Linked DNA regions of Oryctolagus cuniculus. The protein of the gene in region 1 purifies or fractionates together with the protein of each later gene. This does not show direct contact. Links are inferred from orthologs where the notes say so. Each region holds a gene or a part of one and is shown in the gene's direction. Other genes may lie near its edges.

What was found.
Region 2: the proteins of CIAO1 (region 1) and CIAO3 purify together in Homo sapiens (affinity purification with western blotting; 3 studies listed by BioGRID and IntAct, with this or other methods). This does not show direct contact. The link is inferred for Oryctolagus cuniculus from reciprocal best matches to the Homo sapiens genes CIAO1 and CIAO3.
Region 3: the proteins of CIAO1 (region 1) and POLE purify together in Homo sapiens (affinity purification with western blotting; 3 studies listed by BioGRID, with this or other methods). This does not show direct contact. The link is inferred for Oryctolagus cuniculus from reciprocal best matches to the Homo sapiens genes CIAO1 and POLE.

What each region holds. Positions count from the first base shown.
Region 1 is NC_091433.1:111,312,627-111,314,787, reverse strand, and holds the end of CIAO1 (probable cytosolic iron-sulfur protein assembly protein CIAO1), read left to right. Parts: intron 1-129; coding exon 130-217; intron 218-1,024; coding exon 1,025-1,265; 3' UTR 1,266-1,656; downstream 1,657-2,161. UniProt on the Homo sapiens protein: Key component of the cytosolic iron-sulfur protein assembly (CIA) complex, a multiprotein complex that mediates the incorporation of iron-sulfur cluster into extramitochondrial Fe/S proteins.
Region 2 is NC_091450.1:33,991,109-33,995,550, forward strand, and holds the start of CIAO3 (cytosolic iron-sulfur assembly component 3), read left to right. Parts: upstream 1-1,589; 5' UTR 1,590-1,654; coding exon 1,655-1,720; exon of another isoform or gene 1,721-1,919; coding exon 1,920-2,015; intron 2,016-2,284; coding exon 2,285-2,428; intron 2,429-2,503; coding exon 2,504-2,636; intron 2,637-3,383; coding exon 3,384-3,503; intron 3,504-3,707; coding exon 3,708-3,826; intron 3,827-4,078; coding exon 4,079-4,208; intron 4,209-4,442.
Region 3 is NC_091452.1:874,004-878,394, forward strand, and holds the start of POLE (DNA polymerase epsilon catalytic subunit A), read left to right. Parts: upstream 1-1,584; 5' UTR 1,585-1,681; coding exon 1,682-1,743; intron 1,744-4,391. Other genes in the region: PXMP2 (peroxisomal membrane protein 2), read right to left, coding at 148-261, 1,261-1,379. UniProt on the Homo sapiens protein: Catalytic component of the DNA polymerase epsilon complex. Participates in chromosomal DNA replication.

The sequences.
Region 1 (2,161 bases):
GCCACAGTGTGTGCTGCGGGTCGGTGAGGATGGCGACAGGGATGGGCACGGCGACTCAGGATGGCCTGAAGTCTGCGGTGCGCAGCTCCTCCGCCGAGGCCTCGGGCTCAGAACCGGTCTGTCTTGCAGGGCTGGTGTGCAGCGGCTCTGCCCCCAGCTGGAAGTGTGTCTGCACTTTGTCTGGCTTCCACTCCAGGGCCATTTACGACATTGCCTGGTAAGACCTCCATCCCCACCCCACTCCTGGTAAAGCAGGGATTTGAGAGACATCGTGACCCTCTGTCCTGCTACCAGCGGGGCACAAGAGAAGAGCCGCCCTGTTTCTGTAGATGAGGCCCCCTGTCCACCATGCTAGAGCCGGCCGGCCTGCGAGTCCCAGGGGCAGGACTCAGCCTTAGACCCAGGAGCCCTGGTTAGGAGCGCAGGCTCTGAGGGCAGCACCAGCCCCGGGATTCACGCAGTGCCAGTCCGTCCAGAGAGCAGGACTGAATCTGTGGATCGGTGGTTGGGGTTGTTACGGTTTGGAAACACAGAGGGAGAGTTAGGCAGAAGACAGTTCTGGCCCTGAGAGGGAGGCCTAAGAATTAATGCTAAACAAAGGAAAAAGTTCATAGGCGTCCAAGCATAATTAGTATTAGCAAACAGTTTGGAGTAACGCATACGAGTATGTTGCAAAAAAAGTGGACTTAAGCAAATAATGGTAAAACTCAGTAGCCTGTTCTATCAGTTAAAAAAGACTTCAAAGCATGGGAAACCACTTATGCTCAATGAGAAGTGTGCTCTTCAGAGCTGCTTGGGGTTTTTAGGTTAGTTATAACTGGAAGGCGTATGGAGGCATCTGCAGACCGAGGGAGGTGCTGCTCGTGGCTCTGTCTTTGGGACACTCCCCGGTAAGACTGAGCTGAGGCCTGCAGCTGGGAAGAGAACAGGCAGGGACTGTAGAACAGATCTCTCTCTCGCCCAGTTTGCCAGACTGGGGAGGGAAGAGCAGTCTGCACACCTCCTGATGGCACATTTCTCCCAGGTGTCAGCTGACCGGGGCCCTGGCTACAGCTTGTGGGGACGATGCCATCCGAGTGTTTGAGGAGGATCCCAGCTCGGACCCGCAGCAGCCCACCTTCTCCCTGACGGCCCATTTGCGCCAGGCCCATTCCCAGGATGTCAACTGCGTGGCCTGGAACCCCAAGGAGCGGGGGCTCCTGGCTTCCTGCAGTGATGATGGGGAGGTGGCCTTCTGGAAGTACCAGCAGCCTGAAGGCCTCTGAGCTGCCTTGACTTCGGCATCACAGTTCCTGAGAAAGTGTGCTGAGACTTTGCCAGTCCCAGGAGGGCCTGGAGGAGCATCCTTGACCTTGATTCAACTTGGCTGGCTTCTCTGCAGACTCAAAAAGAGGCATGGAGCCACAGGGTGGCTGGCTTTTCCCCTCCTTTGACACGAGGCCCTCAGTAAAGAGCTACAGAATGCCAGTCCATTTTTGTTAACTCAGAGTTTGCTTGCTTTGGGACAGTGTTAAATTTGGGTGGGTGGGGAGTGTACTGTTTGTGTGTGTGTGTGTATACAAGGGTATGTCAGAAAGTTCCCAGAGATTGTATATTGTGAAAAGATCATGGGTTTCAAAAAAATTTTTGCACCAAAATAAACATCTTTTAATTCCATTTTCCATGAACTTTTTGAAGTTCCCTCATATATATGTAGAAGGGAGAGTGTGTCTCAGACCTTTCCAAAACTGTAAACTTTACAAAAATAATACATTTGAGTCCAAAGTCTTATTTTATAAGAACAGTCACAATTTAAAAAATTCCGTGGTAGTGGCTGGCACTGTGGCAGAGCAGGTAAAGCCACCACTTGCAGTGCTGACATCCCATATGGGCGCCGGTTCGAGACCCGGCTGCTCTGCTTCCGATCCAGCTCTCGGCTATGGCCTGGGAAAGCAGTGGAAGATGGTCCAAGTCCTTGGGCCCCTGCACCCGTGGGGAAGACCTACAAGAAGCTCCTGACGCCAGCACCGTGACTCACTAGGCTAATCCTCCACCTGTGGTGCTGGCACACCGGGTTCTAGTCCTGGTCGGTGCACTGGATTCTGTCCTGGTTGCTCTTCTTCCAGTCCAGCTCTCCGCTGTGGCCCGGGAAGGTAGTGGAGGATGGCCCAAGTGCTTGGGA
Region 2 (4,442 bases), on another chromosome or scaffold:
AATCCCAGTTCCAGCTGCTGCACCCACATGGGAGACTGGGGTGGAGCTGGGGCTCCTGGCGTGGGCCTGGCCCCATCCGGCCACCGTAAGGGTCTGGGGTGGACCAGCGATGGGACTTCTCCCTCCCTCTCTTAAATAAATAAATATTGAAGGCCGGCACCGCGGCTCACTAGGCTAATCCTCCGCCTTGCGGCGCCGGCACACCAGGTTCTAGTCCCGGTCGGGGCGCCGGATTCTGTCCCGGTTGCCCCTCTTCCAGGCCAGCTCTCTGCTGTGGCCAGGGAGTGCAGTGGAGGATGGCCCAAGTGCTTGGGCCCTGCACCCCATGGGAGACCAGGAGAAGCACCTGGCTCCTGCCATCGGATCAGCGCGGTGCGCCGGCAGCAGCGCGCCGGCCGCGGCGGCCATTGGAGGGTGAACCAACGGCAAAGGAAGACCTTTCTCTCTGTCTCTCTCTCTGTCCACTCTGCCTGTCAAAAAATAAAAAAATAAATAAATTAATTAATTAAAAATAAATATTGAAAATAAATTTGCATATCAGAACTGTGAAATGGTGGTGAGGGACCTGTAACACCTGTGCCGTGCGGCCCCCAGCCCCTTCCTGTCCCCCACGGACGGGCGTGGCCCCTGGCGTGGCACGGGGCGTCCAGGCTCCCCGTGCCCTCTCCTGGCCTCTGCGGCCTGTGACCCACTTGCATTTGGGGAAGAACGAGGAAAACCACTGGGTATCAGCCCTGGGGTAACGCTGCCCCCCCACAGCCAGAGGACTGCACGGCCCAGTGGTCAGCCCGACAGAACCAGGGCCTGGAGCCGCAGGACAAGAGGGGCAAGGGGTGTGCCCTCCACCCTGGACGTTTCTGGAATGTCCAGTGAAGCCACGGGGGACACCTGCACCCCGGGAGTGACAGACGGACAGAGGGCTTCCATTCCCGGGCTCACTCCCCAGATGGCCGCAGCGGTGGGGGCCGGGCCAGTGCGAAGCCAGGAGCCCGAGCTCCGCCGGGGCTCCCGCCAGGGGCCAGGGTGCTGGGGCCCAGGCGCTTGCCTGGCGCTGCTTCGGCAGGTGCCTGAGCCGGGAGCCGCTGGGACTCAGCCCACGCGCGTCCGGGAGCCCGGGCCCAGCACAGCGCCGGCTCCCATAGCTCAGCAAAACGAAACGCAGACCCCGCACAGTGTGCATTTGGACAGGGCAGGATCCGCAAAGGCCTAAGTGGAGTCTGACCAGGCCAGCACTCCCCGCAGCTTATAAAATTCCAGGGAGCGGAGCGGCCCGAGCCCCCAAGGGGTCGCCCCATCCTAATTTCCTCACCGCCTGAATTTATATTTCAGTAGAAACTGAGCGCCCACCGCGGGCCGGCCGCGGGACGCTCTCGGGTGCCCCGGGGAGCTCCGGGCCGGGCAACCCTGGGCCCCACGCCTGGCAGGCAGGCGAGCACCGCACAGGGGGGACCACCCAAGCGGCGCGCGGACCCCAGCACCTGCACCGCCCCCTCCGCCGCCCGGCGCAGGCGCGGGAGGTGTGCTGTGCTCAGCTCGCCGGCAGAGGGCGCGCGTGCGCCGCGGGGCTGCTTTCCGGCAGCGTGGCGGAAACACCCTAGCTGTGCGGCGCCCTTTGACGACCGTTCGCGCGTCGCCTGGCGGCAGTGTGGCTATCATGGCGTCGCCCTTTAGCGGGGTCCTGCAACTCACGGATCTAGATGACTTCATCGGGCCGTCTCAGGTGGGCCCGGCGGGTGGGCGGCTGCGGCGCGGGCGGCGGGCGGCGGGCGGCGGGCGGCGGGCGGCGGGCGGGGCCGGCCCCTGAGAAACGAAGTCCGCGCGCCCCCGCCAGGGCCGGCTCCCTACGCGGTGGCCGAGGGCGGGGGGCCCGGCTTCCCCGCGCGCTCACGGCCGCGGCGTGGGGGCTCCTCCCGCTGCAGGACTGCGTCAAGCCCGTGAAGGTGGACGCGAGGCCGGGGCGCGGCGGGGCCAAGATCCAGGTCGGGGACGACGGCAGCTACTTCCAGGTCCAACAGGTGAGGTGGGCCCGGCGCCGGGGGTGCGCAGGGGGACCCTGGGCGGCGGCCACTCCTGCGCGGAGGCCTCTGCGCCCGCGGTCCCAGCCTGGCTCCCCTGGCCTGGCGCGGGCAGGCGGCGCACGGCGGGAGCTCACAGCGAGGGGAGGTCCCGCTGTCCCGCCCGGCCACTCGCTGCTCCGGAGCCTGGTGGCGGGGGCTGCGGGAGCAGCGCGGGGCCCGGCCGGGCTGGTCCCGGCGGCGTGCGAGCCCGGCGTGCTGCCCCGCAGGGCGGCGGCGCGCGGAGGCTGGAGCGAGCCAGGGTCTCGCTGGACGACTGCCTGGCCTGCAGCGGCTGCGTCACGTCGGCGGAGACCGTGCTCATCGCGCAGCAGAGCCACGAGGAGCTGCGGAAGGTTCTGGACGCCAACCAGGTAGCGGGTCCGGCGGGCGCCTCGGGGGGCCCCGGGCGGCGCGGCCCGGGTGACGCGCGCCCCCCGGCCTTGCAGGCGGCGGCGCCCGCGAGGCGCAGGCTGGTGGTGGTGTCGCTGTCGCCGCAGTCCACAGCGTCGCTGGCCGCCCGGCTCCAGCTGCCCGCCGCCGACACGGCCAAGAGGCTCGCCTCGTTCTTCCGGAGCATAGGTAGGTGGGCGCCGGGGGGGGGGCGTCCACGCGCGGATCCCGAGTGACCGCAGCTCCGAGCGAGCCTGGAGGACGCGCCGTGCCCGGCGTGCTTTCCTGCTTTGTGAGGTTTGTTACTTATTTAAAAGGCGGCGTTCCAGAGAGGGGGACACAGACAGGTCTTCCGCCCGCGGGTTCGCTGAGTTCAACTCGGGGTGGAGGGGCCGGGCGGCCGCCACGGCGGGAGGCCGGGACCCAGGCGCACGGCAGGCGCTGGCGATGCGCCTCGTGGCTGTGGAAGCGGCCCACGGTTCTAGGAGGCGGGTCCCGCCCAGGGGGCGTGGTTGGCCTGGGAGGCGGGGTCCCGCTCTGGGGTCTGGGCCCGTGGCTGGCCCTGGCCCAGGTGCCATGAGCAAGTGCAGCTCGGCTCTGGGAGGCGGGGTCCCGCTCTGGGGGCGTGGCTGGCCCTGGGGGCGGGGGTCCCGCTCTGGGGGCGTGGCCGGCCCTGGGGGCGGGTCCCGCTCTAGGGGCGTGGCTGGCCCTGGGGGCGGGTCCCGCTCTGGGGGCGTGGCTGGCCCTGGGGGCGGGGTCCTTATGGGGGGCATGGCTGGCCCTGTGGCCGGGTCCCGCTCTGGGGGCGTGGTCGCGCTCTGGGGGCGTGGCTGGCCCTGGGGGCGTGGCCGGCCCTGGGGGCGGGTCCCGCTCTGGGGGCGTGGCTGGCCCTGGGGGCGTACCCCCCCAGGTGCAGCTCACGGGGTCGCCCTGCAGGCGTGCACTACGTCTTCGACGCGGCCTTCTCCAGGAGCTTTAGCCTCCTGGAGAGCCAGCGCGAGTTTGTGGAGCGGTTCCGACGCCAGGCGCTGCCCGTGCTCACTTCCGCCTGCCCAGGTGCGTGCGTGGGGGGTCATCTGTGGTCACTTCTGTTGCCCTGAAGTCATCACGTGGATTCCGAGAGCCCCCGGGGGTGAGGGCAGGGCGGGGCTGAGCCCGGGGGTGAGGGCAGGGGGGTGGTCACTGAGCCCCCAGGGGAGAGGCAGGGCGGGCGACCCCCGGCCGCCCCTGGGAGCTGTGGCTGCGTGTCCCGCTGCCCAGGCTGGATCTGCTACGCCGAGAAGACGCACGGCAGCTTCCTGCTCCCCTACATCAGCACCGCCCGCTCGCCGCAGCAGGTCATGGGCTCCCTGGTCAAGGACTTCTTCGCCCAGCAGCAGGTACTGCGTCCACCGGCCCAGGCCGCGCAGGGAGCGGCTCAGGCTCGGTGAGGGGCGGGGGCCTGGCTCTGTGCGGCCGCCGAGGGCCTCTCTCTCGACGTGGCCAGAGGTCCCGCCCGGCTCGGGGAGGCGGTGTGGTCACCTGCCCGCCCCGGCGCCGGCCCCGCTCAGAGAATTCTCGGGGACCCTGCCCTGCGGGAGACACCGCCCACAGCGTGGGGGCGGGTGTGACCGCGTGTCCGCGTCCCACAGCACGTGACCCCCGACAAGATCTACCACGTCGCCGTGATGCCCTGCTACGACAAGAAGCTGGAGGCGTCCAGGCCCGACTTCTTCAACCAGGAGCACCAGACCCGCGAGGTGGACTGCGTGCTCACCACCGGTGCGCGCCCGGCCCCGCCCCTCCCCGGCCCCGCCCACCTGTGCAGCGCGGGTTGGGGGGATGGACTGTGTGCTCGCCACAGGTGCCCGCCCCCACGTCTCCCCGGACTCCGCCCCGCCCCTCCGCCCAGAGGCGCGCGGGTCCTGCCTCTCGGAGACCCCTGTTTGCCTGAAGCAGTCTTATCTCTAAGGTGTGCCGCTCATTTTTATTTATTTGCAAGGCAGAGAGCTCCCA
Region 3 (4,391 bases), on another chromosome or scaffold:
ACTACATAAACCATACAAGCTGTTCTGACCCTCCCCCCATGATGATTCAATGCTGTTTTTAAAATTATTTTTCCAAATTAGATTATCCCAAACATTCGGTGTACTTAGTCTGTTACAGAGTAAACCTGCCTCTTTTATGGCACTCACCCATAAATTGCATATCTGAGAGGCCCAGTGACATCTAGATTTTGAGAGTTGTCTTTTTTTCGCTTCTTCTCAATCATCTGAGCCAAGAAGTTCGAAAATGCTGACAGAATAGCACTGTGGACAAGGACACAATCAGGAGACATGGACAGCTGGTCCTTTCCCACACGTGCTCTGAGGTCACGCTCTGGACTGAAGCCGCTGCAATGGCAAGTGCCTACATCAAAAGGCAGGGACAAAGATTCTCTCTCTCACACACACACAGGTGAGGGCAACCAGCTGGTGGACTGTATGTCAACATTCTGGTTATGCGAGATACCCCAATTTTCTAAAAAGTTTGCCATCCCAGGAGTCAGAAAGGCATGTGGTAACAGAAAGGGATCAGGAGGGACCCTGATGTGGACATTCTTCTGTTTTGCCTGTGGTGACAGATACAGAACCACGGGAGATAAAACTGCACGGAAGTAAACACCTTCACAAGGGTACAGGAGAAGTGAGGAAACCCAAATATGACCTGTGGACTAGCCGTGCGAGCTGTGACGCTGCGCTAAATTTTACAGAATGCAACCGACGGGAGAAACTGGGAAAAGGGTACAAGGCTCTCTCTTGCATAATTTCTTACAACTGAACCCGAATCTACAATTATGGCCCTAAGAATTTCCATCAGAAGCGGCGAGAGGCCCAGTGGCTCCCTCCAGGCCTTGGTCTGTTGCCTTCCGAGAGGCTCTGAGACACAAAACGCACACAGGGCCTTCCAGATCTGACCCCCGCTCCCCGCCCCAGGTCCTCCGCGCACGGCTCGCTCCTCCCTCGGACTTGGCACCCGCAGCTCCCTCTACGCGGACAGCGACTGCGTCCCTTCCACGCACGGCCTGTTCACTGTCGCCCCCCGCAGAGGAGCCCGCCCAGCCGCCCTCTCTCCGCCAGGCCCTCCGTCGAGTCCCTCGCCACGACACCGGCTGCGGGAGGCACCACACGCAGCCGGCACGGGCCGGCCGACGGCAGGCGGGGACGGCCTCCAGCGACACAGCCCGACAGCCCTCCGTCTGCCCGGGACCCGACCCACAACGCTGCGGGCCGCGACTTGGTCCTCCCTCTGCGCGGCGACGCGCCCACCTGGTGGCCGCTTTGGTGAGCACCGGGTACAGCCGCAGGAGGAGCAGGTAGCTGGCGAGTGCCCGCCGCGGGAGCGCCTCGGCCCGCAGCCTCGACGCCGCCGGCGCCATCGCCACCATGCTCTGCGCCGCCCCGGGCAGCCGCCCGCGCCTCGGGTCAGCCCGGGGCGGGGCGGCCCGACACTGCCCACAGCGCCGCCCCGGACGGACCCCGCGCTGCGCGGCGCGCGCCTCCGCACACCTTCTCCCGGGCCCTCGGGGACCGCCCCCTTCCACCGCCCCCCACGCGGCACCACCCATTGGAGCCCCGCGGGCGCCCGCGCCTGCTGATTGGACGGCGGGGCGCTTCCGGAATCTCGCGAGAGTAGGTGGGAGCGCGCCAAATTTCTCCCGGGAAACTGAGACGGTCCTGAGCCGGAGCGATGGTGCTGACGAACACCGGGCGGCGGCGCGCGGAGCCCAAGGCGGACGGCGAGGCCAGTCGGTGAGGGCGGACCCGGTCCTCCGGGGGTCATGCTGGAGGTAGCCGGTGTCTTCCGGCCTGAGCCCTCTGGCAGACGCCGGCCCCTTCCACGGGCTGCCGGGCGGTGTCCGCGCGGGTCGGGGCCGGCGGTCCCGGCGTGGAGGGCTGCGGGCGCCCCCCGCCCCCGGTGCGGGCCGAGGAGCGCTTTCCTGCGCGGCCCGGGTCCGCCGCCGCCGGGGCGACCCTTTCAGGCGCTGACCTCCGCGCTGACCTTCACCCTGTGCCCGCCTCCGCTAGCCGCGGCTGCGTTCGGGGAGGGTCGGGCTGGGGGCCGCGGGGCCGGGGCGACCCGGGCTGCTGTGCCCTGCGCGTCGGGGCCTCGGCACGGCCGGAGAGGCGGACGGCGCTGGGCGCTGGAACTGGGGCTTGTCTCCCCGACGCGCTCGTGGGCCTTGCAGCTCGCGGACGGCGCGGGGCTGCACGGTGGTGAGAACCCTGGCGACAGCCTCGGCTTCCGCCAGAGGTCTCGTGCTTCACACAGCCGCTGGCGGCGAGGGGCAGGGCTGTTAGCCGGGCCTGGGATCTGCTGTGAGGGGGCGATCGGAGCAGCCCCTGCGAGCGGTCTGCGGGGACCTGGAGCGCTGTCTGTGGCGATGCACTGGGACTGCGTTTTCAAATATTGCACTGTAGCTGGATAAAAAGCGAAATACAAAGCTTAGAGAACAGTCTTGAGAGGAGGTGTGGTCCAAGAGAGTGTTTATAGTCCCTTTAATCCAACGCACCTGATTTAAGGATATGTGGGGGACTGCAGTACACAGGACTGGTACTTCGTTCTGTCTTGATTTTTTTTTTTAAGATTTACTTATTTATTTGAAAGAATTACAGAGAGGAGAGGCAGAGAGAGGTCTTCCATCCGCTGGTTCACTCCCCAATTGGCCACAACGGCCAGAGCTGCACCAATCCGGAGCCAGGAGCTTCCTCCGGGTCTCCCATGCAGTTGCAGGGGCCCAAGGACTTGGCCATCTTCTTCTGCTTTCCCAGGCCATAGCAGAGAGCTGGATCCCAAGTGGAGCAGCCAGGACACGAACCGGCGTCCATATGGGATGCCAGCACTGCAGGCGGAGGCTTTACCCATTATGCCACAGTGACAGCCCCCTGTCTTGATTTCTTTTTTTATTTTATTTTATTTATTTATTTTTTGACAGTGAGAGAGAGAGACAGAGAGAAAGGTCTTCCTTTTGGCATTGGTTCACCCCCCCCCATGGCCGCCACGGCTGGCGCGCTGCGGCCGGCGCACTGCGCTGATCCGAAGGCAGGAGCCAGGTGCTTCTCCTGGTCTCCCATGGGGTGCAGGGCCCAAGCACTTGGGCCATCCTCCACTGCACTCCCTGGCCATAGCAGAGAGCTGGCCTGGAAGAGGGGCAACCGGGACTAGAACCCCGTGTGCCGGCACTGCTAGGTGGAGGATTAGCCTATTGAGCCGCAGCGCCGGCCTCCCTGTCTTGATTTCAAGAAAGATCTAGGCCTCAAGCTGAAGCCAAGTTCTCTACCAAGGCTTGGAATACAGTTTTCCTGTTTTTTTTTTGTTTTTTTTTTTTTTTTTTTTTTTTTGACAGGCAGAGTGGACAGTGAGAGAGAGAGACAGAGAGAAAGGTCTTCCTTTGCCGTTGGTTCACCTTCCAGTGGCCGCTGTGGCCTGTGCACCGCGCTGATCTGAAGCCAGGAGAAGAAGAAGTGAAGCCTGTGATTACAATGGGCCCACCCAGATAATCCCCATCTAAAGATCATATTTTTTTAAAAGATTTATTTATTTATTTGAAAGAGTTACACAGAGAGAGGTCTTCCATCCACTGGTTCACTCCCCAAATGGCTGCAATGGCAGGAGCTGTACCAATCCAAAGCCAAGAGCCAGGATATTCCTCCAGGTCTCGCACACGGGTGGAGCAGCCAGGTCTTGAACCAGCACCCATATGGGATGCCAGCTCTGCAGGCGGCGGCTTTACCAACTACACCACAGTGCCGGCCCCTAAAGATCATCTTAATTGCAAGTTATGTTTCTTCACTTATGGGAACATTCACAGGTTTTAGGAATTAGAACGTAGATCTCTTGAGAGATGATATTCTGCCTTCTATGAGTGGCTTTAAGATCCTAATATTGGAACATGGTCATTCTGTTCTTCAAATAGAGGTGGCCCAGGAAGACTCTGGCACAGGACGGATTTTTCCTGAACAGTTCTCTGTCCACTTCTGCATATAAATTAGGATTTGGTGAAATGTGGTAATTTAGGACCTGAATTCTGTATGGACTTGATTTACCTCTTTTAAATTTTTCTTTAGTCCTATTTTGGATATGTAGATGACTTCCTTTTTTCTCTTCCCCTTAAACCTGCGATGAACATCTGTATGTAAAAGATTGTTTCCTGAAAATAGGTTTAAATTCTTAGAAGTAGAATTGCAGGGCCAGATGATAAAGCAATATTTTAAAAACACCCACCTCATGGAGAAACCAAATACCATCAGAGAAGGGATAGTTGTGTAATTTTAAGAATTGTGATACCCTTGGGCCGGCACCGCGGCTCAATAGGCTAATCCTCCGCCTGCAGCGCCGGCACACTTGGTTCTAGTCCCGGTCGGGGTGCTGGATTCTGTCCCGGTTGCCCCTCTTCCAG